Caenorhabditis elegans: one gene and its partners. The protein of the gene in region 2 purifies or fractionates together with the protein of the main gene of each other region. This does not show direct contact. Each region holds a gene or a part of one and is shown on either strand. Other genes may lie near its edges.

Region 1 (12,273 bases), on a different chromosome or scaffold from region 2:
CGAGACAACGAATCAGACATACAGCGAAATGGTGCTCCGAATTGCTCTAATTGCAATGATCTATTATCCATTATCAATTGGGCTCACTTTCTATCAGAAATGGTTTATAAAAGTAAGGGTTTTTTGGGATACTTTTTAAAAAGTGGAGGTCGTGCAAATTCAAGAAATATTGATCACTTTTAAAAATCAATTAGAAAACCCAGTCAATGTTTCCATGTTTTGTGGCCTAGAAAATAGAAAACTCGGCCACCTGTTTATCTTCCATGTTTAACGTACATTTTACATCGTTCTTTTTCCTCACAAAACCATTTTGTATAAATACACACTGTATAAAATTTTCGAAACACCTTTTCCTGATTTTCTCATCACTCGGAAATTTTTGAAAGAAACTTAAAACTAGGATAATGAAAATTGTTTAATGAGAAAAAATTCTACATAACATTTGGTAAATGTACCACAAAATGTAAAATGAAAAGTTAAAATTTTTAATTTGTGAAAAAAATAATTCACTTTTATTATAGTGGGGGTCTCGTTAGGCCATTGGCGGCAAAATCAGAAATTCAAACGTTTTCAAATACCTAACGAGGCCCAAAGTTTGGCGCAATTTTTTCTGCGTCCCAATAATAAAGAAATATAATTGCAACTTAATTTACGCGCTACATGCTTACATGCTATTTAATAACAATTTTTCAGAACTATAAACTCCCGTTACTGGTTGTAAGTGGACATTACGTGCTCAAATACCTCTTCGCAATCACAATCAGATTCATTTACGAATGCCTTCGAACACGTCGAACACGTGTCTCATTCCGCGATCAACTGCGATGGTTGGCTCCAATTGGAATATGTGCTTCAATGGATATAGGTCTTTCGAATTGGGCATTAGAATATGTCACTGTCAGTCTGTACACAATGGCTAAATCCTCATCAATACTGTTCATCGTTGCCTTCTCATTATTACTTCGATTGGAGAGATGGAGGAATTCATTGGGCTTTGAGACGGGCCTGATTGCTGCAGGCCTATTCCTATTCACTTGGAAATCATCACAACTTGATTTAACCGGGCTGATGCTTGTTGAACTTGCGGCTGCATGCACTGGAATCCGATGGACAGTTTCTCAGATGGTAATGCAAAGAGATGACTCGGCAGTGAGACATCCATTGGATATGGTTGCACATGTACAGCCATGGATGATGATTCCAATTATTCCGATGATTTGGTTGTTCGAAGGAGCTGAGATCAATTGGAATTCCGTGTTTTCATTCAAGGGACATTATGATCCTTGGCTTGTGATGGGATTAATTGCCGGAGGAGGATTGCTGGCGTTCTGTATGGAAATGAGTGGTGAGTTGTGAATGTTTTTATATTCCATTTTGAGAATTCTGAGAATGCGTATTGCACAACATATTTGACGCGCAAAATATCTCGTAGCGAAAACTACAGTAATTCTTTAAATGGCTACTGTAGGTCGATTTTCATTTTTTGCTAAATTTTAATATTCAATCGATAAATAAATTACTTTAATTCATTTCAAGAATCGAGATCCCGTAAATCGACAAGCACTACAGTAGTCATTCAAAGAATTACTGTAGTTTTCGCTACGAGATATTTTGCGCGTCAAATATGATGCGCAATACGCATTCTCAAAATATTGTGTTCCCGTAATAAACCCATGTAAATTTGTCATTTCTCCAAAAATTTCAGCCCAGGGGTATTTTGATGGAGAGTTTTATCAAAATGGAATTCAAACGTTTTCAATTATTTTGGTCGAACCTAGATTTTGGCGCAAAACATCCGCCTACCTTGTGCGAAGCGTGTTGCGTCGCGGTCCACGCCGCCTGAAATGAAATTGGATTTTTTTCTAATACCCCTTTTTTTTCCAGAATACCTGCTTCTCGTGAACACTTCTGGAATCACGCTAAACATTTTCGGAATTGTGAAAGAAGTTGCGACACTCTTATTGGCACATATCGTGAACAAGGACACACTAACGGAACTGAATATTTGTGGTTTAGTTCTTTGTTTGTCTGGAATGCTTTTACACGGAATGAACAAACGACATCAGAGGTAAGACAGAATATTCGAATTGTGAATTAGTTTCGGATTGGATACTTGGATTCAGGGGAACCGAAATTTCGGGTGAATTTGAAAATAGGCTCCTCCTTTTTTGCAAGTACGACGCACACTTTTTTCTTTTGATTTTTTTTGTTCAAAATTTTGCCATTTCCAAGTTTTCCTTCATGGTTTCCACCGAAATGGACAAAAAAAAAAGCAAAAATTAAACTTAAAAATGACTGGAAAAAAGCGTGCAGCGGCATTGCAAAATTTCTTTGCAAAGAGGTGGAGCCTAATTTTTAAAAAGGTTTTGCAAGTGCGCCGCACATTTTTCCCCTATTAAATTTTTTAAAAATTAATTTTAGTAAAAACCGGGAAAAAAGGTTTTTAATGAAAGTTTTCATGAAAAGATTTATTTAGACAAAGATTTTCGGCGCATGATTCTCGTGAATTCACTTCTCCCAAAATTTCGGTTTCCACCGTATTATGGGAACACAAAATTTTGAGAATGCGTATTGCAAAACATATTTGACGCGCAAAATATCTCGTAGCGAAAACTACAGGAATTCTTTAAATGACTAGAATATTTGAAAAGAAACTCCGAGATCCCGTAAATCGCCACAAGAGCTACAGTAGTCATTTAAAGAAGTACTGACGTTTTCGCTACGAGATATTTTGAGCGTCAAATATGTTGTACAATACGCATTCTCAGAATTTTGTGATCCAGTAATACTTAGACATCTTACGCTCAAATCTGGAAAAGCGTAAGATCGCCTCGAATTATCGATTTTTAAGCTTTTTATTTTCGTGTCAAGACCCATTATTTTTTATCTTCCTGCATACTTAACTCTATCTGTACAGGCTGAGTCGTATATCTGCCGACACTGACCATCAGTACTCGCTTCTTTCGAAAACAGTTTGATTATAATTTCCAACGTAAGAAACAAGACGTAAATGTAAAATTGTCGTTTCCTTCTGTTTTTGTCCTTTGTCTGCTTCTTTTCCCTTCTGATTCTATCGCCTATTGTCGAATTTATAGAATAGTTTCAACGATGCTCATTTATCCCGCCAAGGGCACAGGCGGCATATCGGAGCATCGTAGTGTCGGTTTGTGAAGTGATGGTTAACTGAATGGCATTGAATGAGCAACAGGAAAATTTTCAGTTTTTAGAAATTAATTTAGTTCTAATTACACAAACAATTCTCACTGCCACGGCACGAAAGCTTGATTTAATCAATAATTTTAAATTTTCAATAGAGCGGGCTTATTAAGGGGACACTGAATTCTGAGAATGCGTATTGCGCAACATATTTGACGCGCAAAATATCTTGTAGCGAAAACTACAGTAATTCTTCAAATAACTACTGTAGCGCTTGTGTCGATTTACGGAAAGCCTTCTTTATTACATAATCGATAAAAAATTTGATGTCACTATTCGAACAGAAATTCGTTTAAGAAGCCAAGCCCGTAAATGGACACAAGAGCTACAGTAGTCATTTAAAGAATTACTGTAGTTTTCGCTACGAGATATTTTGCGCGTCAAATACGTTGCGCAATACGCATAGTAGACAACAGAAAATTCGATAAAACTTCGCAGAAAAACTTTTTTTTTTTCGTTTTTTAATCGATTAAGATCCAAGAACCAATCAACTTCATTTTTATCGATAATTTGTAAAAAATCGATAAAATTGAAGAGTTATCCTTTTTCTGTACAAAATACGCTATTAAAAAAGAAATTATTCAGAAACATCGAAAAGTAGTTGTTTGCAAACGCGCTCTATCGAAAATCATATTTTCTTGTCGAAACCGTGTTGCAAGCGCGCTCCATTGAGCCTCCCCAGGATTCTCAATAGAGCACGTTTTCAAATCCCGCCAAATTCAAATTTTTGTCTGTTTCCCGTCTTCTCCTAATCACGGTAATCGTTGTGCATTCCGTGTTTACCCAACAAAAGAAAAAACCTAAATTTTCAATATTTTTTTCAAAAATTCCAGAGCCCATCGCCCTCTTCCAACTTCCTCAACGTCCACAAGAAGTGACGATTCTCGAAAGTTGCTCGCAACAGAAGATCCAGACGCTTAAAATAAGTTAATAATTTTCGTTTTTTTTTCTCTTAATCAATTCTTTCCATTTTCTCTTGGTTGTTCTGTTCATTTGTCTCATCTCGGGTCCCACGATAAATTTTTATCAATTTTTTTCAATACATCTACTATATGTGTAATTTAGGATGATGAAGGAAAACAAATCTAAATCATTACTACTGCTGGTCATGAAAAAAGAAAAGGGGGATGGATGAGAATTTATCACAGAAAACCAATACATATTTAAAAACGAATTTTCGAGAAAAAAAGGGAAATTTCAGGAAGAGGAAACACACAAGCGACCATTAACCTGCAGAAAGCGTTGATCCCAAAAAAAGAAAGAAAAAAAAACATGAAGAGAGCATTTCCCGCTTATGTACAAAAAACATAGAGAAGAAACAAAGAAATCCCAAAAAAAAAAAAGAAAAAAGAAACGGTATATGGTATCACACATTGATTGGAATAGAATAGAATATGGTGTATGTTAGGAAGAAATAGGAAATCGAGAGACGAAAAGCTATGGAAACAGATGGAAGAGAAAGAGCACATACAATAAATACGCGGGAGGGAAGAGAATTGATGGTACCGGTTTAGACTTGATTACAGATTGCACGTACACGCATTGGTGACCTGGAAACAAATATTTTTTATATTAAAATTTTTTGAAAGTAAAATGATCTCTGTCGCAGGGGTGGGCGGCAATTGCCGGTTTGCCGATTTGCCGGAAATTTTTATTTTCGGCAAAATGGTTGCCGGAATTTTCAATTCTGGCACTTTGCCAGTTGGCCGGTTTGCCGATTTGCCGGAAATGATTTTGGCAAAATCGGCAAATTGCCGGTTTGCCGATTAGCCAGAAATTTTCAAATCTGGCGATTTGCCGGTTTGCCGGAAATTTTTATTTTCGGCAAATTGGTTGCCGAAATTTTCAATTCTGACAATTTGCCAGATTGCCGCTTACCAGTTTTGCCAGAAATGTTTTTTTTTCGGAAAAATCGCCAAATGGCTTTTTTCCAGAAATTTTCAATTCCGGAAAATTGCCGGTTTGCCGGAAATTTTCAATTCTGACAATTTACCAGTTTGCCGAGTTTGCCGGATATCAGATTTGCCGGAAATGTTTTGAGGAATTTTTTTAAAGACGGAAACTCTTAAAACGGTGCGTTTTTGGAATTTTTTTCCCGTTTTTCGCCGATAAAATTTAACTTCCAACAAAAAAAGTGCAAAACCACAATTTGCCGAAAAAATATCTCGGCAATTTGCCGATTTGCCGGAAATAATCGTTTGCCGCCCCTGCTCTGTTAGTACTTCACGTTTTCAGCGCTTAGCTCAAAAAAAATCTGCTAAAGCTGAAGTGCACAAAGACAAAAAAAAAGCTCAATTTTTTCCCGACTCACTGGTTGTGGATTCTACTTGCTGAACGCCTCAAAAACAGCCCACATCACGTCGTTTCCCTTCTTTTCGGCTTGCTGGTCGTAATCAAGATCGAGCAGACTACGCACTCGTTTCATTGCAACCTGGAATTTTTATAATTGATTTTTCTGAAAATTGGCGAGAAATGTCAGCATTTCAATTAAGCCCTGGGAAGCTCAATGGAGCGCGTTTGCAAAATTTGATTTCATACAACTTTTTTTGCAATTTTTTCTGCAAATAATTTAATTTCAATCGTTCTCAATATTATACAGAATCGAAATTTCGTGATTTTTGTTCTAAAAATACAGTAGTGGTCTCGACACGACACATCTTTGCCAAAGAGTACTGTAGTTATAAATATTCGTTGCTTCCGAATTTAGTTTTCTATTAAAAATAATTTTCAATAAAAACTTAAAAGGAAAAATGTGATAATTTAAAAAAAAATTGAAACAAATTGATGAAAATTCTAAAGCAAAAAAATTTTTAAAATTACAGTTATCTTCAAAGAGGCACATTTTTTGGCTCAAAATGCGCCAATTTTCCAGAAAAAAACAGGATTTCCAGCATTTGTTTTACCTCATAATCTTGATCAGAAAGCGGTGCAAACGCATTTTCAAGAACATCACTAGCATGAGCCAATACAATCAACGAGAGCATTTTCTTATCCATACGATGAACATCATTCGTCCATTTCCCCAGAACCGCTTCTTGCACTTCTTTAATCAATTTCGTCTTCTGATTTCCGTCCGAAAGTGGATGCGTCGTAATTTCAAAAAGCAAGAAATTTTGCTTATCAGTCGTCAGAACACCCTTTTCAACAAGATTCTTGGCGAGTCGTTCACGAACATTTCTCAGTTGGTAGCGAAGTTTCAGCGGATTCCACGTTTCTCCAGACAAATATTCAATCCAGCTGGTCACTGTCTCCGGCGGGTTTGTCTCCTTCATATGGCGAAGTGCCTCGTCGAGAATGACGTCACCAGTTGGCTCGCTGCTTTTCACAGTCACCTGTAATATTGTTTGTTTGTGCGATGCACGGGACGAAATATAATACTATAAAACTTTCTTTTTCAATTGAATTCGAAAAATTTCTTTTCGGCGGATAAGATGGTTCTTATTGATATTACGCGACCACAAAATTCTGAGAATGCGTATTGCACAACATATTTGACGCGCAAAATATCTCGTAGCGAAAACTACAGTAATTCTTTAAATGACTACTGTAGCTCTTGTGTCGATTTACGGGCTCGACTTTAAAATAAAAAGGAAAATAGAATATTGTTGTCAATATTCGAAAAAAGCTATAACAAATTTCGAAAATCGAGATCCCGTAAATCGACACAAGCGCTACAGTAACAGAATTAAAGAATTACTGTAGTTTTCGCTACGAGATATTTTGCGCGTCAAATATGTTGCACAATACGCATTCTCAGAAGCCTGTGCTCCCGTAATCAATATTTATATCTGAAACTACCTTTCTATTAAGCAAATTCTTGCGTCTCATTCCGCCTCCCTCGAGTTGAATTCGTCCACGGAGCACAAGCTCGATGAGCACACATCCTCGGAGCCCCGACGAAATGCAATCATTCCAAAACGATGTGTAACCTTCACGGTCTTTAAGGCCGAGCAACAGGATTTGCTCCATCAAAGTCAATCGGGTTCCCTTGTCATTGTCTTCTTGATCCGAAGATTGTGCTGAATCGCCGCTCGCTTCGTCGACTTTTTCGGTGACTGGCTGAAAATTGGATTGATTTTGAATTAGTTAACTGAAATATCATTCTGTGAATTTTGCAGAAAAAAACATCGCCGCACAGAATAAGAGGCGGGGCGTAATTTAGCAACACTGCGGAACAGGGGTGTGCGGCAAATTTGCCGAATTTGCCGAGCACGGCAAATTTCAAAAAAGTAGATTTGCCGAATTTGCCGAGCTCGGCAAATTTCGAAATTTGCCGCACACGTCAAAAATTTGACAGTACAATTTTGACTAAAACTGTTGATTTTTTCGCCAAAAATTTAGTAAAATGATAACAAATTGAGTTATTTTGATGTTTAAGCAGACACACTACACCTAACTTGTTCAGAAACCAGAGGTGTGTTAAGAATTCAGTAGTTTTGGTGCTCCAAAAAATATCAAAAAATATATAATTTTTCCGAGTTTGTTAAGCACGGCAAATTTGCCGAATTTGCCGAGCTCGGCAAATTTTGAGATTTGCCGCACACCCCTGCTGCGGAACGGTTTTTTTCGATTTTGCTTATTCTATTTATTCGGAAAAAATTCTATAATATTTTCATTCGAATTTATTTGTTTGAAAAAATTGAAAAAAAAAGCGTGAAAAATATACGAAAACAGGAAAACCGCGCCGCAGGGTTGCGAAATTAAGCTCCACCTCTTTTTCCGATTAATCGTTTAATTTTAACAGTACACAGAGGAAATTTGAGTTGAAAATTTCAACTTTTCAGTGACTGGCTGGAAATTTTATTGATTTTTAATTAGTTTTTTCTTGAAAACTCTTTTTTGCAAAAACATCGTCGCACAGAAAAAGAGGCGGAGCGTAATTTCGCAACACTGCGGCACGGTTTTTTTTTTAATTTTGTTCGTTTTATCTTACTTTTCCTGAAGAAAAATGTTTTTACAACCAAAAATATCCTCATAGTCTTATGAGAACTAAATTCGATAATATTTTCAATCGAATTTTTTTGTTTGAAAAATTGAAAAAACCGCGCCGCAGGGTTGCGAAATTAAGCTCCGCTTATTTTTCCGTGCGACGCTGTTTCTGCAAAATTCACGGATTAATCGTTTAATTTAAACATTACACAGAGGTAATTTAAGTTGAAAATTTCATCTTTTTCAGTTTTTTTTATCTCTCGTGTTTTTCCATTGAACTCTGTAAAATCATCCTACCTCTTCAGCCTTTCTGCGTCTCTGGACCAGCTGACCGTCCGACATATCCGATTATTACAGTATTAAATTCTATCCAAAAAACACGTCGGCAACTAACTGGGCGAGTCGTTCCTCAACTTCTGAAATGGCAATAATTTCTTCAATTTGACAAAAATTTCGCTCAAAAAATTCGGTTTCACGTTAAAAAGTTGCAAATTTCGGGTAAATTAAATGTTGAATTTCAAAATTCGTTTCCAAATCAAGATTCCATGCATTTTGCTTCTCCCTATTAGCAATTGCCAAAAACATTCAAAATCGGCTAGTGAGAGAAGCATAAGCTGTGTTGTAGATTAAATCTAGAAGAACCAGTCTGAAAGTGGAGCCTCCAGCAGATGAAAAGATCGTTGGCAGTGATAAACTTTTGAGACAAATGAAGATGATGCGCAAAACCGGATGGAGTGGAAGAGGAAGAGGTGTAAATGGGTGTTTTTTGGGAATAAATTATGAGTATCTAGCTTGATATTCGATTTTTAGAAGTTTAAACTGGATTTAATCGAAATTCAATTTTTTTAGTCTCCGGAAAGGCAGCCGCGAAGAGCTTTAATCGTTATTTAAATAAAAATTTCAGTGTTTCAGAAATATTTTTTAACCGATTTATTGCCGATTTAGTAAATTTTCAGCACTAATATTCAAAATTATGGAGGTTTTACAGAAAATAAATTTTTTTTTTAATTGTATGAGTCTAATATCGAAATATAAAAATTTGCTTCATCTGGAAATAGTTTTCATATCAGTTGGAACAATTGAAAAAAAGCTCAAAAATTGCATGAACGTTGAAAAATGCCGGAAAAATAGGCAATTTTCAACTTTCAGAAAGTTTTTCCAAAGGTTTCAAGTAAAATGAACGCATTTTATCGGATATTTCCCTTTAAATTTAGTGATAAAATGTAGAAAAACATTTTATTTGTCTGGAAATAGCCTTTTATTTTGCTCGAAACATTTGGAAAATTTGGAAAATTTTTTGGGAAATTGTGAAATTTTTTTATGAAAGGCTATTTCCAGATAAATAAAATGTTTTTCTACATTGTATCACAAAACTTAAAGGAAAATATCCGATGAAATGCGTTCATTTTACGCGAAAAATTTGGAAAAACTTTCAAAAATTGTCTGAAAGTTGAAAATTGCCGAAATTTGTTTCTAGCAGTCTCCAACTTTCAGGCATTTTTCGAACGTTTTTCCTAATGTTTCAAGCCAAATAAAAACAATTTTCAGACAATAAATTTTAAGAAAAAATCTAAGGAAAGGTGTATTTTACAGAATTACTGGTCGGCAAACTCCAACTAATACAACAATTTCGGAAGGGAAATTATAAAACAGTTGTTATCGCCTAAAAACGAAATATTACATCACAAGCGAGCAAGCTTTTCCATGTGAGCAGGGAAAGAGCCATTGTTTGGTCAGCTTTTTTCTGGGGCTGCTCTCCAAAGCTTTAACTGCCACCAACATTTCCACAAAAAAAAACAGCCAAAATTATATTAATACTGGAGAACTGGGTACTTAAAAAAAGGTTTGTACAGTTTATAGATGCTTATCAGAGGGCGTTGCTGTGAAGCTTTATCATGGAAAATGGAAGAAGGAAGAGCAGGGGTGATAATTGATTGGAACTCGAGAGATTACTCGGAAAAGCTCGAAAATTTAATTTCTTGTAGATTCAAAAAACATCAAATCATTGGAATAAATGTAATGAATCGACAGCGACGCACGGGCGAAAGCTAGTATCGGGAGAAGAGCGTTTCGATTGAAAATACCAGGAGAGGCGAGAAGTGTGGAGAGACGCGAGAGAAGAAACGTGGCGTTGGGGACAGAGAGAGTGAAGAGACCACAGAGACACAGAAGGGACGAGCCGGATGATGGAGACCGCCGGAGGAGAGAGAAGGATGGTGACGAAGCGGACGGACGGACGACGGCGACATACTTTGCCGTGAATTTTCTGTGCGCATAAAGAAGTGAACGTTCTGAGTGAAATAATAGAATAATGTGATTTTGGCTTCTAGTTATCTCGTTATTCAAAGGTGAAGTAGCCGGAATATTTTTAAAAAGATTCAAAAAATCTGAAATAGTCTCAAATTTAGCAAAACTTTAAAAGAAAAACGAAAAGAATGAAAAATCCAACTTCTAAAGGGGGAGTAGAGTTTGTGAGTATTTTGTTTAAATAGACTAAAACTGGTCTAAAATTACCGAATTTCATAATGAGACTTCACAAAAAATTTTCAAACAACTTTTATGGCGGGTCAAAATTTCGAAAAAAAAAAGAGTCAAATTTTGCTAAAATCTGAAATTTCGCTGGCTTTTCTTTGTCACAGCCGCTGGACTTTAGTTTTTTCTGAAATTATCATCCTTTAATCCTTATTTTGGTAGATTATCTCGCGGAAATTGGTTGATTGAGACAATTTTTAGACCTATAGGCATCCAAAAATGATAAAAATTGGATGCCTATCGGCCTAAAAGTTGTCTCAATCAACGAATTTCCGCGAGATAAATTACCAAAAGAAGGATTAAAGGATGATAATTTCAGAAAAACTAAAATCCAGCGGCTGTGACAAAGAAAAATGTGCGAAATTTCAGATTTTAGCAAAATTTGGCTCTTTTTTTTCGAAATTTTGACCGGCCATAAAAAATTTTTGGAAATTTTTTGTGAAGTCTCATTAAGGATTTCGGTGGTTTTGGACCAGTTTTAGTCTATTTAACCAAAATACCCACAAACTCTAAGTTATTTTACAATTCGCCCACTTTTGGACCAATCAGAGCAGCTCGAAGGCGCTGATTGTTCAGGGCGTTCTCATTTTGGAGGCTTTTTTTTGGACTTTTCACTTTTTTTGCAATTTTTTCTGTGGATTCCGGCTTACTATATATATTTTTTTCATAAAATCCATAAAGTTATTGTGTTGCGAGTCACAATATTAAATGTATGACGTTTCGTTATTCTTATCTAAAAAGGCAAACATCTCGGTCTCACAGTACTTATATTTGAAAATTTTGATTTTTAGGCTTTTTTCTTTGATAGGAAAGAAAAAGGGGGACTTGTTGTAGGTAGAACAACATACCTGCAGGGTTTCGAAAGAAAAAATATGGCGAAAAATCCTCGATTTTTATTATTAAAAAATTTTTTCCAACTTCTCAATGATGCTTGAAAAACTGTGCAAAGCACTTCAAAGTCGGCATTTTCAAACAAAATTTCTTATTTTCACGCAAATTTTATTGAGGATTTCAAGTTTTAGACGACAATCCAAACAAAAATCGATTTTTTTCCAAAGTAAACTGTACAGACTGCTTATAGAGAAGAAAAACAGATTCTATAAGAATTCAATAAAATTGGAAAACAGATGTTAACGGAGAAAGTGCAAGCAACCTGGTCAGATTAGCGCAATCGGAAGAGGAATGCAAATAACAAAAAAAAATTGGCGATACAATCTCAATTCGTCAGGTGTTTTCTACAAAGAATCGGAAATAGTTGCAATTTTTTAAAATTAAAAAAAAAAGATTTTTCTAAAACGACTTCAAGCTAACGTTATCGCAAGTGTCTGGAATTCAGAAAAAAGGAAAAGCAAAGCCAAATCGAAATATTGAAAGAAACTGCCAAAAAAAGCAAAGATAGTGCTAAAGAACCTTAAATTAACTTTTATAAGGGTGATTTTTAATTTTTCAAACAGAAAACATAAAACATTGAAAAAAAAACAAAGGAAATTTGAGATTTTCAGCTTAGAAATATTTAAATCTGAAAAAAGAAGAAAAAAAAATAAATCAAAAATCCACATCAAATTGTGCGGTAGAGCGCGAATGCGTTTCTGTGCA
Region 2 (8,682 bases):
TTTTAAACGAAATTACCACTACTGAAATCCATATTTTCCGGCCGTTCCTTGAGTAAAAACAATTGAGATGTCAAATCAGCAGTAGGCTTCTCTCCTAATAATTCAGAAACTTCTAATTGAAGTCTTGACAGCATTCTTTCCTTCTGAATGGTTGCTTTTCCCATTGAAATCCACCACATTTTTGCATGCAATCCTAAATTTTTGGAATCATTTCCAAAAGTTTGATGGAAAACATTTTCGTCCTGGTTTTCATTTGCAATGTATGATGTTTCATCGAGAATATTTTGAATTTCTTTGAACACGGCATCTATCATTATAGATGTGGCATCTTGTGAAATGTAGGATATTAGATTTGAAAGCTCGTGGAGAAGGGTTCCATCCTGAATAAAAGGTTAAGAACATTTTGAAATTTTCCAAAATATTAATAAAACTTACCAATCTCGTAATTTTTGCATAAAAAACTATCAAATTGCGAATCGTAATTATTCTTATCGACTTGTGTGGAATATATCTCGCTTTCAAAACAACTCTTCTCAATAATGGAACATCGTCAGAGTTCAGAATTTCAGTTTTGGCAATTGATCTGAGAGCGGATACAACAAAGAAAATTGCAGTCGGACAGGACATTAATTCAATAGAAACCAATAGATTTCGGATGAAATCTGGGGTTTCTCTGATTGAATTGAACATTGAACCAAGTTGAATCAGAAATGCATCCATTCGTCCTTTTTCCAAGTTTCTCCAGAAGACGTCATTATTATTGAGATTCGGTATGATGAGTGATGTAATCACATGATCATTATCCTTTAGAATCGATGCATCAATTGAAATACTTTTCTCAATCGCCCAAACTCGAATCCATCCATTTGTATGAAGCATAGCTCGGAATAAAGCAACTTTCAACCATTGGAAATTGAGTTTTCCATCACGAACCGAATTCAGAAGCGTGTCGAATCGAGGTAACACTGGACGAATGATGTGAAACTGTAAAAAAACCAATTGTAATTACATCGCAAACAAGCTTTCCGCCGAAAATGCGATACCAGGTCTCGACACGATAAGCGCCTTTAAAAAGTACTGTAATTTAAAACGTTTTGTTTCTGCGGAGTTTTCATCGATTTCGAAAAAAAGTTTCCCGTGATTTGCTTATAATTTATGTGTTTCTATTTGAGCTTTTTTTATTATCCAAAAACTATGCAATGCAAAATCGATAAAAAATTCCGCAGAAATGAGAGTTGGAAACTGCAGTACTTTTTCACACTTTTACTCATATGAAACATTTTTTTTTCGTATTTTTGCCGCGTTTGAGTGGTACCTGGGGCTCCTCAAGAGCTTCTACCAAAGTGTAAAAATCTGTCCATGCAGAACCAGAGCAAAATTCCTTCAGACATGCAATAACTGCTCGTCGAGACGGCCTTGAAGACTCGGCGTCTGTAATCAAAATATGTTTAATAATATTGATTGAATTGCAAACCTAATAACACATCAGCACAAATTCCTTCGAATTCCTTCTTTCTCGAATCCGTGATATCTTTGGCAGCTACAATGCACAGAGTTGGGAGGGCAATTTGAAATTCGTTTTGATCCACGATTCGAAGATACCTGGGATATAAATAGTTAATTTTAGGAGTAATCAGGCAGACCCGAGGTAAATAATTTTTGAAATATCGAAACAGTTAGGATATATAAAACATTTTTAATTCATGCTTACGCTAGAAAGTCAGCCACACTTTCATCTCCATCGACATTTTCAGCTCGTCGATTCCAATATGCGCGAATTTGAATTTCGCTCTCAGCATCGCCCATAATCTAAAAATAGTTGAATTTTAAGTAAAATAAAATTTTACTAATTAGTATCACCAGCGGTATTAAAGTGGGCAGGAGTATCCACTAACTTGATGACTATTCACAGAAACAGATTGTCTAGAGAAAATTTTATATTCTAAAAATAAAAACAAACAGTAATAGTAATTTTAAAAAAACAAAATATTTTAAGCAAACGAATGTGGTCGAATTGGTTTGAGCGGGTCGAACAATTTCGGGTCTCTGGTGTACTTTGGATCCTTTACGAAGATTGGCATGAACCCGGCACGACGCGATTTCTGAATAAAGAATATCGTTTATCTAACTCTATTCCAGTTCATCATACCGCGATTGCTTCAATCAGCTTCTTCTTGTTCTCGTCGCAAAGTCCAGTGATGTGACGATCGTATACACGCCCAGAGAATGTGGAAACAAATTGCTGAAAAAAAGAATTGGATTTTACCGAGCTCCAGTTTAAAACATTTCGTACCTGCAAAAGTCTCGAATTTTTGTAATCGAGTTCAACACCAGTTGAGCACAAGAGGCACTTCCGTGGCTCTTTTGTGTATGGATTATTCTCCAAAATTACGGGCTCATCGTCAGAGCTAACCGAAGGAGATCCCTGCGTGGTTGAACTGGAGCTACATAACCTGAATGTCTGCGGCCTTATGAAACTTCGCACCAACGATGACGCCGATTTTAGCATTCTGAATTGATACTGTTGGATTGCATTGATAAATTTAAAAATGAGATATCTTAAGGTTTAGAACCTGATACACTGATAGTGTTTCAAATGCATAAAGCTGAAGTCTTTATGACATGGCAACAAATACCGGAAAGCGATTAGTCAAAAATGCAAAAAAAAGAACCGTAAAGCCGTAAAGCGAAATAAATTATGAAAATACAGTTTTTACAATCATTTATAAATCTAATTCTAATCTTTCTTCTGTCTACCCATCGATAGTCGAACCAGGATCGTTTTCTTGGCCATATCACTTTCATCAAACATCAACCACAACATCGCAACTGCCGCCTGAAGTTAATTTTTTATTAGAAAGAATGAATTAACATGGGACTTACGAAGACAAGGGAGAATCCCACAAACATCATAATGGCCGCACTTGCCGGATAATCGATATATCTAGCTTGAGTCACTTGCAATACTTTTTGTAACAGCTTAATTCTAGCCTTCTCATCTCTATCAGGCTTCTCGTGAGTATAGATTTCAGCCACCACATTCCCGCCATAACTGTTCTTGATAGCATCTTGTAATGTATCAATACCTCGCTTGATATTTTCTGCCAATTGTTTTCTTTCCATATCTGTTCGCGCATTGGAGACGTCAAGGTGAACACGGTAGTAGTCAACAACATTGGCATTTTTTCGATCTTTCTCCATGATTGCATCCGAAAGTCGATACATATTTTGAAGATCCTCCTTATAAGTATCGTAATTAGCATGGTTTCCCTCAGTATTTCTTTTAAACAACGATGATCCAAATATTCCAGAGGAGTTTACTTCGGCGTGAATCATATCATCACCAAACTGTTGTTTGAAATGTTCTTGAATTTGATTTGGCTGGAATTTATCCGTAAAATTGAAAGCATGTCCGTCATAATCAAAGTTTTCCAGTCCGTCAATAACGATTATCAACAACGCCTTCGGTTTTTGGAACAATTTTTCATCGCCGATCGCCTGATGAGCTGAAATAAGGCAATAAAACATTTTATATTAATAAAATGTTACCTACCTCCAACTGCAGCACCAAGTCCAAAAGCATTCTTGTTGAAATTTAATAATGAAACTGAATCGAAAGACGAATTTCTCGAATCAAGTATGTGGTCGTTTGGCAAAATGATTTGAAGACGCCCGGCAAGGCAAACTGAAATTGAAGTTTTTTGCAAAAAATAAATAAGAAATTACCTTGTAAAAATGATAAAATCCATATAAAACTTCGCATTTTTGGCTTGAAAAGAAGCAAAAATGAGAAATAAAAAACTCACAATTTTTCTGTAACAATGGAGCGCGTTTGCTTTTCTCGTTGAGACACCACAAACCAAGAGAACTTGAAACTCCGTGGAAGTTGATTTCATCAGCATTGGTTACTGTATTTTTTTGCCAAAACTTTTATTGATAAAGTTTTCATCTATGTATACAAAAATATTAAAGGCAGATATTTATTGGGTTTTGAAGAAAACTGTCAAATTTTTTGGTTCCGCGCGCAGAAATGATAATGAAATTGAATTTTGAAGTATATTTTTGCTTAAAAAATTAATACATATCTTTTTTTAATTTTATTCACTGATTGTGATAAAAATAACTTGTAGCAATGAATATTTTCCTTCAAAACGAACATGCAATAAATTTCCTTCACTTGCTTGTTGATAAAAAGGGTGGGTCAATCCAATATGATAGGGTTATCTTCTCAGTTTGTTCCGGTACAAATTGTTATCCAATCAAACTATATTGTCTGTTGAACCTATTGCACAATTGATGCGGCTATTGAAAAGGTGACTTTTTGAAAAAAATTGAATTAAACGGAGGGAAGTAAAATCTTAGATAAATATAAGGATGAATACCTTTTAGTTTCCTTATTAAGAATTACCAGTTTTATAGTTCAAGGCTATTCGATTTACTGGTAACTACCAATTTGATAGATAGATAAAAGATGAGAAGATTCAAAACTATTTCCTCGATTCTAAATATTACAAATAGATTTATGAAAAATGTAACTTTAAACAAGGAATAATGCCTTCACAAATAGGAAAATGAGAGCAATTTTTTATTTTTTCCAGAATTCAAAAACGGTAATTGTTTAGTTTGTTTTCTGCAATGCGAAGGTATCCATTTAAACAAATTACCATCTGTAAATATGACTGTACTTTTCTCGATCAAACAACAAAAAAAAACAATTTTAACAAACAAAAATAAATATTTGAATACTAATTTATAACCCTCAAGAACCCTCAACTTTTGAAGATCAAAAAAAGAAAGTGTGAGACCCAAGTGGATGTAAATGTTTTGAAATGAATGAAATGTTTGGATTCTTTCCAATGTCTGCTCTGGTTCTTCATTCTTTCTCTTTTCATTTCCATCTGTCATCCATTCTTTTCCGTTTTCTCCAAAATGTGCTCCAAATACTCCAGGACCTTCTTCTTCTTATTACTCACAATGCTTGTTTGTACAATTGTGATCTTTTCAATGGCACCTAGAATAACAATGAGTTTTTGGACTTCAAAGGAAACTAATATATTATGGAGACGCAAAGAGACAGCTCATTTGGATTGTGGAAGAATTTTGGCAAATGATAGAGTTAGTAATTTTAAATATTTAAATGTTTAAAAAATAACCCAAAAACATAAAATTTCAGTCTTATATCGAAAAGTTTATTGGTGAGCATCGAATACCCCTGAGCTCAAATTTGGAGAGTTTAGATATGTCATGTTATTCAATTCAAAATCGAATTATTCCATTCAATTTTCATTTGAGGCCGTTGAAAATTGGTGTTGTATTTGCACGAGTTGTCTATAAAGACTATGAATTTTTGGAGAAACAAGTACAAATGTCATATCATCCACAGAATATATTTTGCTTTTTCATTGATTCAAAAAGCAAAGATGATTTTAAATGGAGAATTAGGAGACTTGGTAGATGTCTTCCAAATGTATTTGTAATAGATGGTATACTGATTGAATATATGTATAATTTAAATTAACTAGAGTTTCAGAAGAACTTCGAATAGATTCAGCGGGTCATAATATGAATTTAGCACACTACAAATGCATGGAGAAGATGGTAAAATTACCGGATTGGGATTATTTTATACTGATGCAAGTGGGGAAAACTTTTATTAATAATTGTAAAAATGCAATGTTTTTAGAATCATGACGTCGTTGGAAAATCAGTTTATGAAATATCTAGAATATTTGAGATTCTTGATGGTGCCAACGATATTGATATTGACAAGGAATTCGGGAGAATAGATGAAAGTTTGAAGTGGGATTTGAAAACGTTGAGATTATTTCGAGATGGTTTGTTTTACAGGAGTCTCTACACTCCTGAATTAAGATATTTCAGAGTCTGCTCTCAACTCTACGTACTTGAACAGTACGTTACGAGTTTCCAAAGGATCAGTGCAAGGATCATTGTCGAGAGCAGCAGTAGAATGGATGGTGAAGACAGTAAATCCAAGAGTGTATCTAGATCAATGGAATGAAGGGGTAACAGAATATAATGTTATTTGAGTTGGTTCTAAAATAAATTCAATATCTTTCAAATAGAGAAATTGCAAACTAATTATTCAGGCGTACGGAGTTGATGAACAATGGATATCAACATTTCAAGCCAATGATTTCCTTGGTATGCCCGGACATTTTTCTGATATATGCTTGAATGAAACAGGAAACAAGACAGATTTTATCACAAGGTTTGAGCTGTTCTCATTCACTCTAAAACTAGTTTCAACTGCTTTTTCATTACCTATTAGTTTAACATTTGTTCGAGAACTTTGACCAATGGAAGTGTAGGGAAAGCAGTGAGACTCTAGGTGTACATCATGCCCAGCGGACCATATAACTTCCTAAATTCGCTAAATTACTTATCTTGAAACGTCGAATCATGGAAAATACACATCTAAAAAACAAATATTCAACTAACAAAATGATTAGAAATATTATTTCTTTCTTTTGAACTACCTTTCATTACAAAATATCCAATATTTGTTGAGTTACATAGAGTTAAAGTCATTTTACGAAAATTCACTTAAATTTTTGAGAACCGTTATGTTCTACCAGTCATACCTTGACATCCATTGAATTAAAAAATAAATTATTTGTTGAATTGTATCATAAAAATATTTCTACGCATTTTATCAGTTTTAAGTTGTTTCATATTTTCATGTTTAGCCAAGTTACAGACCGTTTTCTGAAAAATCCAATTTTCCTCATAAAACTCTTCATACCCAACGCAGAAACTTGAAATTTGGACGAAACATCGTACTTTTTGGTGCTCTATCAGGTTTCATCAAAAAAATTTTGAAAAATCTACACATCTCCAAAATCGTCCTCCGCTCCGAAAAATGAAATCGGATGTTTGCCTTTCGGAAAATGACCAAAAAATGAAATTGCGATATTGAGTTCAAAAAAAAAGTTTTTAGAATGCTGAGAACACGTTATTTACGAATTTCATGTTCATTTTTCATGATTTCTTCTTTGAAGTGACCTAAAATTAATACATGAACCTATTTTCATTCTCACGCTTAACAGCAACTGGGAAGTCAATCAGTTTTTGCTTTTAGGCAATTAAAAAATGTCACGTGAGAATGAAAATAGGTTCATGTTTTAATTTTAGGTCACTTCAAAGAAGAAATCATGAAAAATGAACATGAAATTCGTAAATAACGTGTTCTCAGCATTCTAAAAACATTTTTTTTGAGCCCAATAGCTCAATTTCATTTTTTGGTCATTTTCCGAAAGGCAAACATCCGATTTCATTTTTCGGAGCGGAGGACGATTTTGGAGATGTGCAGATTTTTCAAAATTTTTTTGATGGGCCCTGATAGAGCACCAAAAAGTACGATGTTTCGTCCAAATTTCAAGTTTCTAGGTTGGATATGAAGAGTTTTTTGGGGAAAATTGGATTTTTTCAGAAAACGGTCTGCAACTTGGCTGAACATGAAAATATCAAAAAAGTTTAAACTGATCAAATGTGTAGAAACATTTTCATGTTATTATTCAACAAATGATTTCTTCTTAAACTCAATAGATGTTAAGTAATGACTGATAGAACAGAACGGTTCTCAAAATTGAGGTGAATTTTCGTAAAATGACTTCGACTCTATGTAACTCCACAAATAATTGGCATTGTGCAATAAAAAATAATTCAAAAGCCAGAAAAAATATTTTTGATCATTTTGTTAGTTGAACATTTGTTTTTTAGAAATGTATTTTCCAAGATACGGGAGTTTAAAGATATACAGTTTAGCGAGTTTTGGAAGATATTTGGCTTTGGATTGCATTTTCTCCTGGCAGATTATATTTTAATGAGGGATAATTTAGAATGTGTCTAGTTATGAAATTGTTGGGTAATAACTTTTATAAAGTTTAAATAAAACATTAATTATGCATGATCTTTATCATATTGCACAAGAGAAATATTTTTGTGCGTTGCATACAAAGAGTACTGAATGAGAAACAATAGTCAATGATTTTATAATCAATGGGTATTTGCCGTATTATCTGTTCCTATAATTCTGAATAATTTTGCTTCAGATGGAGCAAGTGGTCATGGTCCGACGAGATCGCTAGGAAATGCGGAAGCAAATTTGTAAGACACGGAGTTTGTATAATGGGTATTGAAGAACTACCGGTAATTGCTCAAATGCCAAATATTATGTTCAATAAGGTAAAAATTCAAGAAATTACGAAACTTGTAACTTCTGATTCAGATGTTACCATCGTTTGACTACGCCATCATCGACTGTACGGCAGAGTTGATATATAATCGTACATTTTTGGGTCAGGAAGATCATCCATTGGAGGAAGAATATTATGCAAATATGGTTAATGTAAGGCATTTTTGGTTTAAATCTACATGATTGATAATATTTCAGGTAATTTATCATAAACACCACTTGGAACCGAATTACGAGTTAAATTGCACCCCGGGTTACGAACTATGGAGAAATAGAAAATATCCTTTATGATTTTTTCGTTATTCCTGTATTTATTTTATTATATTTATAAAAAATGCGTTTTTTTCTACATAAATAGATCAGTTATGAGGGTCTCCTTCGTAATCTGAGCGATCTGAAAATACACAATTAAACAATTTACATAGATGCTAGGAATAATAACTACAAAAGCTCGTCATAAAAATGTT
Region 3 (9,963 bases), on a different chromosome or scaffold from region 2:
TCACAAATGCGGAATGCTTATTTTTCAAAACTATTTAAATTCAAATGCCTTCTGTTGAATTGGTGTTTTTTTGGTAATTGTCCCAATTGATATCGAAATTCGTCAAAATTCCATCTCCACACATGCCAGTCATGACGTATTGCATGCATTCCTTGTTTTTTAATTCTTCTGTATTTAGCTGTGGATTATGAAACCTACCATCAATGAAACACGGAAAACTATTCGCGTCTTCCCGAGGTTTTACTTCATTTAAGCAGAGATTGAAAGCGTCTTCATACATCACATTGCAAAGTTCGACGGTTTTGTTGGTGTGGTCTTCAGAAAAGTAAGAGGTCTCCATGCAGGTCTGAAAGGTTTTTTTGTGAAACTCGAATGGTTTCAAAATCCGGTTACGTTATTTTAGAAATGAATTTATTTCCAAAAATATAAGCTGAGATAAAAATAGTGTTGTAGTTGTACATATTATGTTTGAATTTGAACTGAATACAGGTTTTCGAAGAAATAAATTTTATCAATCAAAACAACATTTCGGCTTGGACCAGCGTTTCTTCTCAAAGGTTCGCCATGCTTCTGTGGTTTTTTCATGAGTCGTCAGTTCTATTGAGGACTTCATTTCGCTTTTCAAAACAATTATTTCTTCATTCATTTTGTCCTTCACAGGATCACACCGTTTTGATACCAATTCATGGAACAAAGAATCGTTTTTATGGCCGTGGTGTTTAGTGCTCATAATATCCACAAATCTTTCATATTGTGAATCTAGATATTCCAATGCTTCCTCGTCACATTTTATTCCTAAAGCAATTTCTTTAACACATTCTTTTCCACGGACGTATGCATTACGGCGATCTTCCGGATCTCTCTGAAAATGTTTGTTTCTTAATTTTATTGATTTTTTTTTTCAATTCTACGCAAATAAAACGTCAAAATTGTTTTCGATTGACCTCGAAATTGAGTGACGTCATTTTTGCGTTTTCCGGCATTACAAAAATTTTGAAAATGACATCATTAATTTGGGAGGTAATTCAAAAATAATTCCACCTTTTTAAATATTTTTATAGTTACTTTCAGTCATTACGGCCTATTTTCTATTATGCAAAACAAAAAAATCACGAATGAAAAACAATGACTGTTTTACCCTTAAAAAATCCAAGTGATAGATACAGTAGTTGCTTCTGCGGTAAAACACTTTGTACATTTTCGAAACACAATCCATCATTTCATAGTACGTGAATTCAATTCTCTCACATTGCCTTTCGTAAGTTTCTTTGTTTTTTTGAGCCTCGGTGCAATTGAATTGACCAAAACATGTCTGAAATGTAACATAAAACATAAATGAATACAAATATACAAAGAACCTACCGGTATCTTGTTGCAAGTTGTATTGATATTTTTTGCGATCTCTGATGTAACTTGAATGTTTGAATATTCATTCGTTAAATTCATCAAATTGTTCACATAAGGGGTGCACTTCGCATTTATCTCAGCTTTCTCACTTTGTGTGCAAACGTTTAAAGACGAATTCAATTTTGTGGACTTGGATTCGATATAGTTGAAACATGTGAACAATGGAATCACCCAGCAAATAGACAACCTCATGTCTAAATAATGAACCAAAACTGTTACATGGAAATATATTATACTCTCTGTAGTTTAATCTGAATGATCCACACTAATCCATATTTCATAGAAGTTCTTTCTGAACAATACATAACACATTTTTCCGGTGTCAAACGGCAAACGGGGCAAAGCGTGTAGGAAGGGGGAATCTATTTTTCTATTTTTTCGTCTGTCAATCTATTTTTCGTAAGTCAATCTATTTTTCGTCTGTCAATCTATTTTTCGTCTGTCATTCTATTTTTTTTTGTATGTCAATCTATTTTTCGTCTGTCAATCTATTTTCGTCTGTCAATCTATTTTTCGTCTGTCAATCTATTTTTCGTCTGTCAATCTATTTTTCGTCTGTCAATCTATTTTTCGTCTGCCAATCTATTTTTCGTCTGTCAATCTATTTTTTCGTCTGTCAATCTATTTTTCTTCTGTCAATCTATTTTTCGTCTGTCAATCTATTTTTCGTCTGTCAATCTATTTTTCGTCTGTCAATCTATTTTTCGTCTGCCAATCTATTTTCTTCGTCTGCCAATCTATTTTTCGTCGGTCAATCTATTTTTCGTCTGTCAATCTATTTTTCGTCTGCCAATCTATTTTTCGTCTGTCAATCTATTTTTTCGTCTGTCAATCTATTTTTTCGTCTGCCAATCTATTTTTCGTCTGTCAATCTATTTTTTCGTCTGCCAATCTATTTTTCGTCTGTGAATCTATTTTTTCGTCTGTTAATCTATTTTTTCGTCTGTCAATCTATTTTTTCGTCTGCCAATCTATTTCTCGTCTGCCAATCTATTTTTCGTCTGTCAATCTATTTTTCGTCTGTCAATCTATTTTTCGTCTGTCAATCTATTTTTTCGTCTTTTTTTTTTGTTTTTATTTTAATCTATTTGTTTAATTGCAAAAGGACAGCCGGCGAGCACGTGTCTCTTGTAAATTTCCTAAATTTCAAAAAATTCAAGTGTTTTATTTAAAATTTTGAGTAATGCGGAATTTGAATTGCCTTGAAGCATACTTATTTGGGATAAAAATAAAAAATAAGGTTATATATTTGGGTTGCAACATTTTTTTCAAAATATCCTGAGTAGTTAAAGAAAACAGTAAGTTCTATAAAATTTATATATGAAATCTTAATTCTCGAAATAGGTTTTTTTGAAATAACGTTAGAAAATGCAGTCCAAGTCTACAACAAGTTTTTTAGAAAACACGACACATTTTTAATCAGTCTAAATCTACCAGTGTACTAGACTTTCAAAAAATAAATAAATACAAAGATACGGTATTCAAAAATGTAGAATGTTTATTTTGCAAAATTATTTAAATTAAATTGCCTTCCGTTGAATTGGTGTTCTTTTGATAATTGTCCCAATTGATATCGAAATTCGTCAAAATTCCATCTCCACACATGCCAGTCATGACGTATTGTATGCATTCCTTGTTTTTTAGGAGTTCTGTATTATTCTGTGGATCATGAAATTTTTCATCAATGAAACACGGAAAAGTTTTCGCGTCTTCCCGGGTTCTTACTTCATTTAAGCAGAGATTGAATACGTCTTCATACATCACATTGCAAAGTTCGACGGTTTCGTTGGTGCGGTCTTCAGAAAAGTAAGAGCTTTTCATGCAGGTCTGAAACGTATTTATGTGAAATATTTTAGAAATGGATTTATCTTTACGCATACAAGTCGGGCAAATTTCAAATTTTAATTTTAGGTCATTTTTTGAGTCCCCATCTTTTAAAAAAAGTTTTCAGAAGGTTCCATTATGAAATTCGGAGTTTTCAAACAATTTCGACAACATTACAAGCAATAGTATGCCAGATAAGTTGTTTTATGAATTTATTTCTAAAACTCCCATTTTTGAATTATACTTATTTTAAACTGACGCAAAAATCAGCGAAAAATTGAAAATGCATGTTGCCAAACTTTAACTGGGCTCCCATGAGGTCGGCGCCTTCGCCTGCCTCAGCGGTCGCCGCGCCGGTTTCACCGCATCTACCACGCCACATGTATAGTGCGGCGAGGAACCGCGAACGTGTCGGCCGCTTCCAAATAACCACCTTTCGCACTTCGCTGCACACACACAGCGGCGCGCGACGTAGGCGTGAAGCCGGCTCGTGGCTCGCATTTTGCACTTCACTCAGCGGGAAGCCCTAAGCTAAACTATATTTTATCAATCAAAGCAACATTTCTAAAGGCATTATTGTCCCAACTATTTTGTTCTAACATTAAATCTAACCTTCAACTCATCACAGACTGACGTCGGCTTGGACCAGCGTTTCTTCTCAAAGGTTCGCCATGCTTCTGTGGTTTTTTCATGAGTCGTCAGTTCTATTGAGGACTTCATTTCGCTTTTCAAAACAATTATTTCTTCATTCATTTTGTCCTTCACAGGATCACACCGTTTTGATACCAACTCATGGAACAAAGAATGGCCGTGGTGTTTAGTACTCATAATATCCACAAATCTTTCGTAATATGAATCTAGATATTCCAATGCTTTTTTGTCGCATTTTGTTCTTAAAGCAATTCCTTTAACACATTCTTCTCCACTGACATATGATTTACGACGACTGTCCGGATCTTTCTGAAAATGTTTGTTTCTTAGTTTTACGGACTTTTTTTTTTCAAATTTTGCTAAAATAAAAATAAATTAAAGACTGAATCCTTTTGGAATGACCGCACAGTGATGTTGGAAGGTATTTCAAAAGTAATCCCGCCTTATAAAATGTTTTTTTAAAGTTGGAATAATTATTTTTAAAATATAATATTATTTTCAAAATTGGTTACCTATGTTATATTATGCAAAACAAAATACCTACTGATCACGTGGTGTCAGGTTGGCCCATAGCTTTACTGCACACAAAAGGCGGGAAAACATTTTTTTTAAATTTGTTTTTTCACATTAATCATCGATTCTCGTGGATTTTTTTGTAATTTTTCGATGAGGGCATGTAATACACAAGTACCGTTAATTAAATTTTACTTGTCTTACCGTCAAAAAATTTATGCCAAAGCTACAGAAGTAGTCTCCGCGGTAATACAATGCGTATATTTTCGAAACACAATCCATCATTTCATAATATGTGAATTCAATTTTTTCGCATTTTCTCTCGTAAGTTTCTTTGTTTTTTTGAGCTTCCGTGCAATTGAATTGACCAAAACATGTCTGGAATGTAACATAAAACATAAATGAATACAAATATACAAAGAACCTACCGGTATCTTGTTGCAAGTTGTATTGATATTTTTTGCGATCTCTGATGTAACTTGAATGTTTGAATATTCATTCGTTAAATTCATCAAATTGTTCACATAAGGGGTGCACTTCGCATTTATCTCAGCTTTCTCACTTTGTGTGCAAACGTTTAAAGACGAATTCAATTTTGTGGACTTGGATTCGATATAGTTGAAACATGTGAACAATGGAATCACCCAGCAAATAGACAACCTCATGTCTAAATAATGAACCAAAACTGTTACATGGAAATATATTATACTCTCTGTAGTTTAATCTGAATGATCCACACTAATCCATACTTCATCGAAAAGAGAGTGATCTGCCTATGTTCTTTCTGACCAAATAGTTACTTCACACATTTTTCCGTTGTCGGAATAACCACTTCTATGACGCCAAAATGATCAAATATCACAGTAAATTTTTTTCAAAAAACGTGAAGTTTTTTAGATGAACTTCAAGCGATTGAGATGGTCTCAAGAAGATACAAAACAAAAATATAATTCTCGTTAGACAGGTTTATGCAATATATGAGTTGAGAAAAAAATTACGTATGTACTTGTTTGCAAATGCTGTAAACTAGAAAAAGATCACAAAAAATCATGGTTTACGGAAAATTAATCGATGGAGTTTATCTGTAATAGTTATTGAATTTTTGTCAGAAAAATACGACAAATATTTATTACTCAAACTATAGTGATGCAGGCAACTATGAAGAGAATAGTTGATTTAAAAAAAGATGCAATAATCTTTAATATATAATATTTATTCTTCACCAGCACTTTTTTCATTAGAATTAGTTATGCCGCTTGTGGAATTATTGTTCTTCCGGTAGTTGTTCCATTTTCTATCAAAGTCCGTCAAAATTTCATCTCCACAATCCAACTTCAATAGAAGTACTTGAAATTGGGTTTTCTGTTCTATTAGTCATCATTAACTATTTTTTTTTGTTGTTAAATGCCCGTTTGAGGGGTGTATATTAGATCATAGTAAGTGTACCTAAACTAAACTCCCTTTTATTATGTTCCACATTTGATTAAGTAATCTTTATTCGATGTTACTCTAAATGTAATTAATTCATTATTTTACAGTTTTTATTTATGTATATCACGAATGTTAAGTGAATTTAATACATTTAAAGCATTTTGAATTCTTCCACTACCAATAAATTTGTGTTCTCCTCAAACTGGAGTTTCTCAAAGTGAATTTATCACGGAGACTTGTGCATTGTTCTTACAACACATTGATATTTTATCTGAAATAAAATTAATTTACCAGTAAACCGCCAAATTTACTAAACGTTTCAAACTAACTTTTAATAATATTTCTATACTCGGAAACAACTAGTGCGACTGAAATACAATCACACGGCGGATAAAATCCAACAAGCGAATACAGGTTCCCAGACTGCCAATCCACTTCAATTCCAACGATTGGTGCCAAAAATGGAGCTATCAAGATTGGCACGGCAGGTGTTATCAGAAACATTGTTGGTACTAACGCCTGTATGACAAGTGCAATGAAGTATTGCCGTTGTAAATTTTGGTTCTGGACAGAGAACTTTTCCAATTCCTTCTTCATGTTGAAATGCATTTTTAGACTGCAGAATATGATGATGGAGAAATGAAAATTGATGAGAGATGATGCGATCAAAAGGAATATTATACTAGTATGTATAACAGAGCCATCAGAATTATAAGGTGTTAATGAGAACCTAGCGAGTTCAGATACATTTAATCCATAATTCTCTGCTACAGAGTCTCTGGAAAATGCACTACTTGAAATTTGCCGAACGTTCAAGATGGTACTATTTACCTGACATATTCATCTGTATAATCATTAGGTGCACATAAATACTTTATAGTGCTAGCATAGCAAATTCCTGGTAGTAAAGGATACAACATCCATAAGCCGCCTTTGAATCCTTCAAAAAACCTGGTTTTTGAACTGTCAAATAAGCATAAATATCTGTATATGAACAGGACGGATATAAATGAGAAAGTTGTTAGATAAAAGCACGACCACACCGTTATGAAGGCATTGCTGATATTAATTGGTAATTGAAAATTGGTAGCGCTGAAGTACAATAGCGTACCATTGTAGTTGTGGGTGAATGGTTTTGAAATAGCTTCAAAGCCCGAAAACATGAGTCCCAGGGCAGCGAAGACAACGATCATTCGTTTATATGGTACTGATATGTTTTTAATATATTTAATTGTGATGAAGATGAAGAGGGAGTTCGCGATGCATCCAGAAAAGAATCCAAACGCTGTGAAAAAGCCAAATAACTTGAACATGAACATTACGAGCAGTTGTGATGTTCAAAAGAAGATATTAGGCGGGAGTATCTTACAGAAGAGGCATGTTTACGTCACGCGGATTTGAACATAATCAACATAGGGAAATTAGAGCACAGACTTCTAAACTATCATAACATAATCTATTGGAAAGAAATGTCTACCAACTTGATATATTTGCCCAATGCGATTTCGGTATAAAAATTGAAAGGAAATCAGAACAATTGGTGAACCGAGACCCGTGTTGTTTGGTATAGTCGACAAACCGAAATTATAACGCGTGCGTCTGAAACTAATACGACTAACCATGTTTTATGTTTTCTAGGTTGTCAGTAACTATATATAATTCCTGAACGACCCACAAAAAATAGGGTGTATTTTTTGAATGACGTCATAGACTCTGCTATACGCCTCTTACACAGTGAGAGCTCGTAATATAGATTTTAAAACTTTTGTAATAGTGGATTAAGATTTAAACTTTCAAGAAAAAGTTATCTAAAAGTGTATTTATTCAATTGAATTAGTTATACAATTTATTATTCTCGAAACATCAAATTCAGCTCAAAAAAGCACTGGCTGAGTAACTATTGCTGTTGAAACCACCGAAACCACCGAAACGCCGCACAATTTCTCTGAAACATTTGAATATCATGATATACATTATACTTCCGAAACTAACGTTTAACGATTGTTTTATATTCTGAAACAATTAACATAAATGCAATACTGTCAAATGGAGCATTAAAGCCAACAAGGGCAAATAAGTTGCCCGTCTGCCAGTCGACATCAATTTTGAGAATAGGCGAGAGCAACGGTGCGAAGAAAATTGGGATGGTCGGAATGATCAGAAAAATAGTTGGACCGATTATTTGTACGATGAGCGCTTTGAAAAATTGACGGTGAAGCGTCTGGTTTTTGACGGAAAACTTTGCCAGTTCTATTTTCATGGAGATGTGCATTTTGTAGCAGCACACTATAATGATAAAATAGTGAAAACTTATTGAAGAAATTCCTATGATCAAATATATAACTGTATTCCACCGTAAGGATCCATCGGCAGAAAATGCGATCATAGAGTATCTTGGCAACTTTGACACCTCGAGCCCGTAATTTTTACTTATTGTAGCTCTGAAAAATAAGATGAACTTGCAGATAACATGGTATAAGATTATTTTCAGAGAAGCCACTCACTGTACGTAACTATCGGAATATTCATCGGCTGCACACAGAAAATTCATGGAAATAGTGTAGAATGCCCCTGGCACTAAGGGATAAATTATCCAAAAAACAGTTTTGACGCCATCAAATTTTTTTGTTGCATTGTAGTTAGTCAAACAAAGATATCTATAGACAAATTGTACTGCTATAAATGCAACTACAATTATATAAAACGCGCTCCAAGATGACATTAATAAAGATACAAAAGTTTCAGGCAACTCGCTTGTACTGAAATATAGTAGAGAACCGTTATAGTTGTGAGAAAACGGTTTTGCGGTAATTTCTAATGCTGAAAATACAATTCCAAGCGTTGAAAAATAAATGACCATTCGTTTGTAGGTTCCGAACAAATTTTTCACGTAAAAAGCAGTGAGAAATATTAGAATGAGATTGGTAAAAGTGCTGGCAAAGAACTCAACAATTGTGAATACATGGGATAGTTCAAACAGTGTCAGAGCCGACATTTTCAAACTATGCAAGGAAGTGAAAAAGTAATAGTTATAGCCTGAAAGGCTTCTCAACACGATATAATAAATTAGCACTACTGTATGTGGACAGCGGAAATTGGAAAGTTCTGTTTTTGTATTCTCAGAAAAATATAAATTTTATGGTCGCAGACAATATAATATTAGACTTTATGGCGGATGCTTCACTAGTCTGAAAGGAAATTTTGAACTACTAAAATTCTTGGCATGCAATGAAAGAGCTAAAACTTTATTAACAAAACTATGTGCAAATAATGAAGTATTACATTATTACAGATTAATCAAATTTCGAGACTTTATGATTGCACATTCTGGGTGAAAGCTTCAACGGCGGACACTTGGTTGTCAGTTCCCAATCCACATAGCACGTGTTCTGAAACCACCTATTTTTCGACAATTTCAAACTGACTAATCACAAACTTTTAATCACTTTAACATACTCCTTGACAATGATCATAAAAGCAATACTATCAAATGGTGGGTAGAATCCAACAAATGCAAAAAGGTTCCCCGTTTGCAAGTCGATATCAAACCCAAACATTGGAGCCAGCAACGGGAGCACAAGAATTGGTGAGGCAGGTATCACTAGGAAAATGGTTGGTCCAAGGGTCTGCACGATGAGCGCGTGGAAGAATTGCCGCTGGAGCTTCTGGTTTTGAGTTGAGAACTTGGCGAGCTCCTTTTTCATGCTAAAATGCATTCTGAGACAGCAATATATGATGATAATGTAGTGAATTCCGATTAGGAAAATGCAAATCGGAAGGTAGACTAGACTTTTCCACCGTAACGATCCATCGGCAGCGTACGGAAGCATGGGGAATCTTGGTAGGTTTGAGATTTCCATAGAGTATCTTTCAGACACCAGCCCTCTGAAAATGTATATATATATATATGGTGCTTCCATATTGATGTAAAAACAAAAGTTCAGTTATTGAACAGAATAGTGCAATTTGGGTTCCGCGCCGCCAGAAGGATCGGGTAGAGTCGTGATGCAGGGCGCCACGCTGGCCTCATGTTAACGCCGCGCACGGCTGTGTGTGTGCAATGAAGCGCGGAAGGTAGTTATTTGGAGCGGCCGACACTTTCGGGGTTGCGCGCCGCATTATGCATTTGGATACATC

Evidence for each region.
Region 1: the proteins of T14B4.3 (region 2) and Y47G6A.18 fractionate together in Caenorhabditis elegans (co-fractionation; one large-scale study listed by BioGRID). This does not show direct contact.
Region 3: the proteins of T14B4.3 (region 2) and Y73C8C.4 fractionate together in Caenorhabditis elegans (co-fractionation; one large-scale study listed by BioGRID). This does not show direct contact.

What each region holds. Positions count from the first base shown.
Region 1 is NC_003279.8:3,504,173-3,516,445, forward strand, and holds Y47G6A.18 (Golgi phosphoprotein 3 homolog sauron), read right to left. Parts: upstream 8,562-12,273; 5' UTR 8,488-8,561; coding exon 8,443-8,487; intron 7,276-8,442; coding exon 7,015-7,275; intron 6,549-7,014; coding exon 6,120-6,548; intron 5,648-6,119; coding exon 5,540-5,647; 3' UTR 5,528-5,539; intron 4,767-5,527; 3' UTR 4,226-4,766; downstream 1-4,225. Other genes in the region: Y47G6A.7 (Sugar phosphate transporter domain-containing protein), read left to right, coding at 1-112, 694-1,345, 1,885-2,068, 4,050-4,137.
Region 2 is NC_003280.10:6,730,031-6,738,712, reverse strand, and holds T14B4.3 (VWFA domain-containing protein), read right to left. Parts: upstream 3,777-8,682; 5' UTR 3,764-3,776; coding exon 3,727-3,763; intron 3,686-3,726; coding exon 3,554-3,685; intron 3,507-3,553; coding exon 2,884-3,506; intron 2,837-2,883; coding exon 2,738-2,836; 3' UTR 2,603-2,737; downstream 1-2,602. Other genes in the region: T14B4.1 (tRNA/rRNA methyltransferase SpoU type domain-containing protein), read right to left, coding at 17-380, 436-984, 1,316-1,431, 1,475-1,602, 1,712-1,806; mrps-18.C (28S ribosomal protein S18c, mitochondrial), read right to left, coding at 1,992-2,102, 2,150-2,242, 2,294-2,509; T14B4.9 (Core-2/I-Branching enzyme), read left to right, coding at 4,930-5,115, 5,174-5,483, 5,531-5,637, 5,684-5,834, 5,881-6,023, 6,108-6,229, 8,073-8,205, 8,249-8,368 and 1 more.
Region 3 is NC_003283.11:3,097,090-3,107,052, forward strand, and holds Y73C8C.4 (T20D4.11-like domain-containing protein), read right to left. Parts: upstream 5,061-9,963; coding exon 4,824-5,060; intron 4,774-4,823; coding exon 4,600-4,773; intron 4,192-4,599; coding exon 3,844-4,191; intron 3,235-3,843; coding exon 2,923-3,234; 3' UTR 2,829-2,922; downstream 1-2,828. Other genes in the region: str-66 (Seven TM Receptor), read right to left, coding at 6,039-6,097, 6,156-6,604, 6,658-7,145; str-69 (Seven TM Receptor), read right to left, coding at 7,701-7,771, 7,819-8,267, 8,331-8,821; str-68 (Seven TM Receptor), read right to left, coding at 9,139-9,215, 9,263-9,711.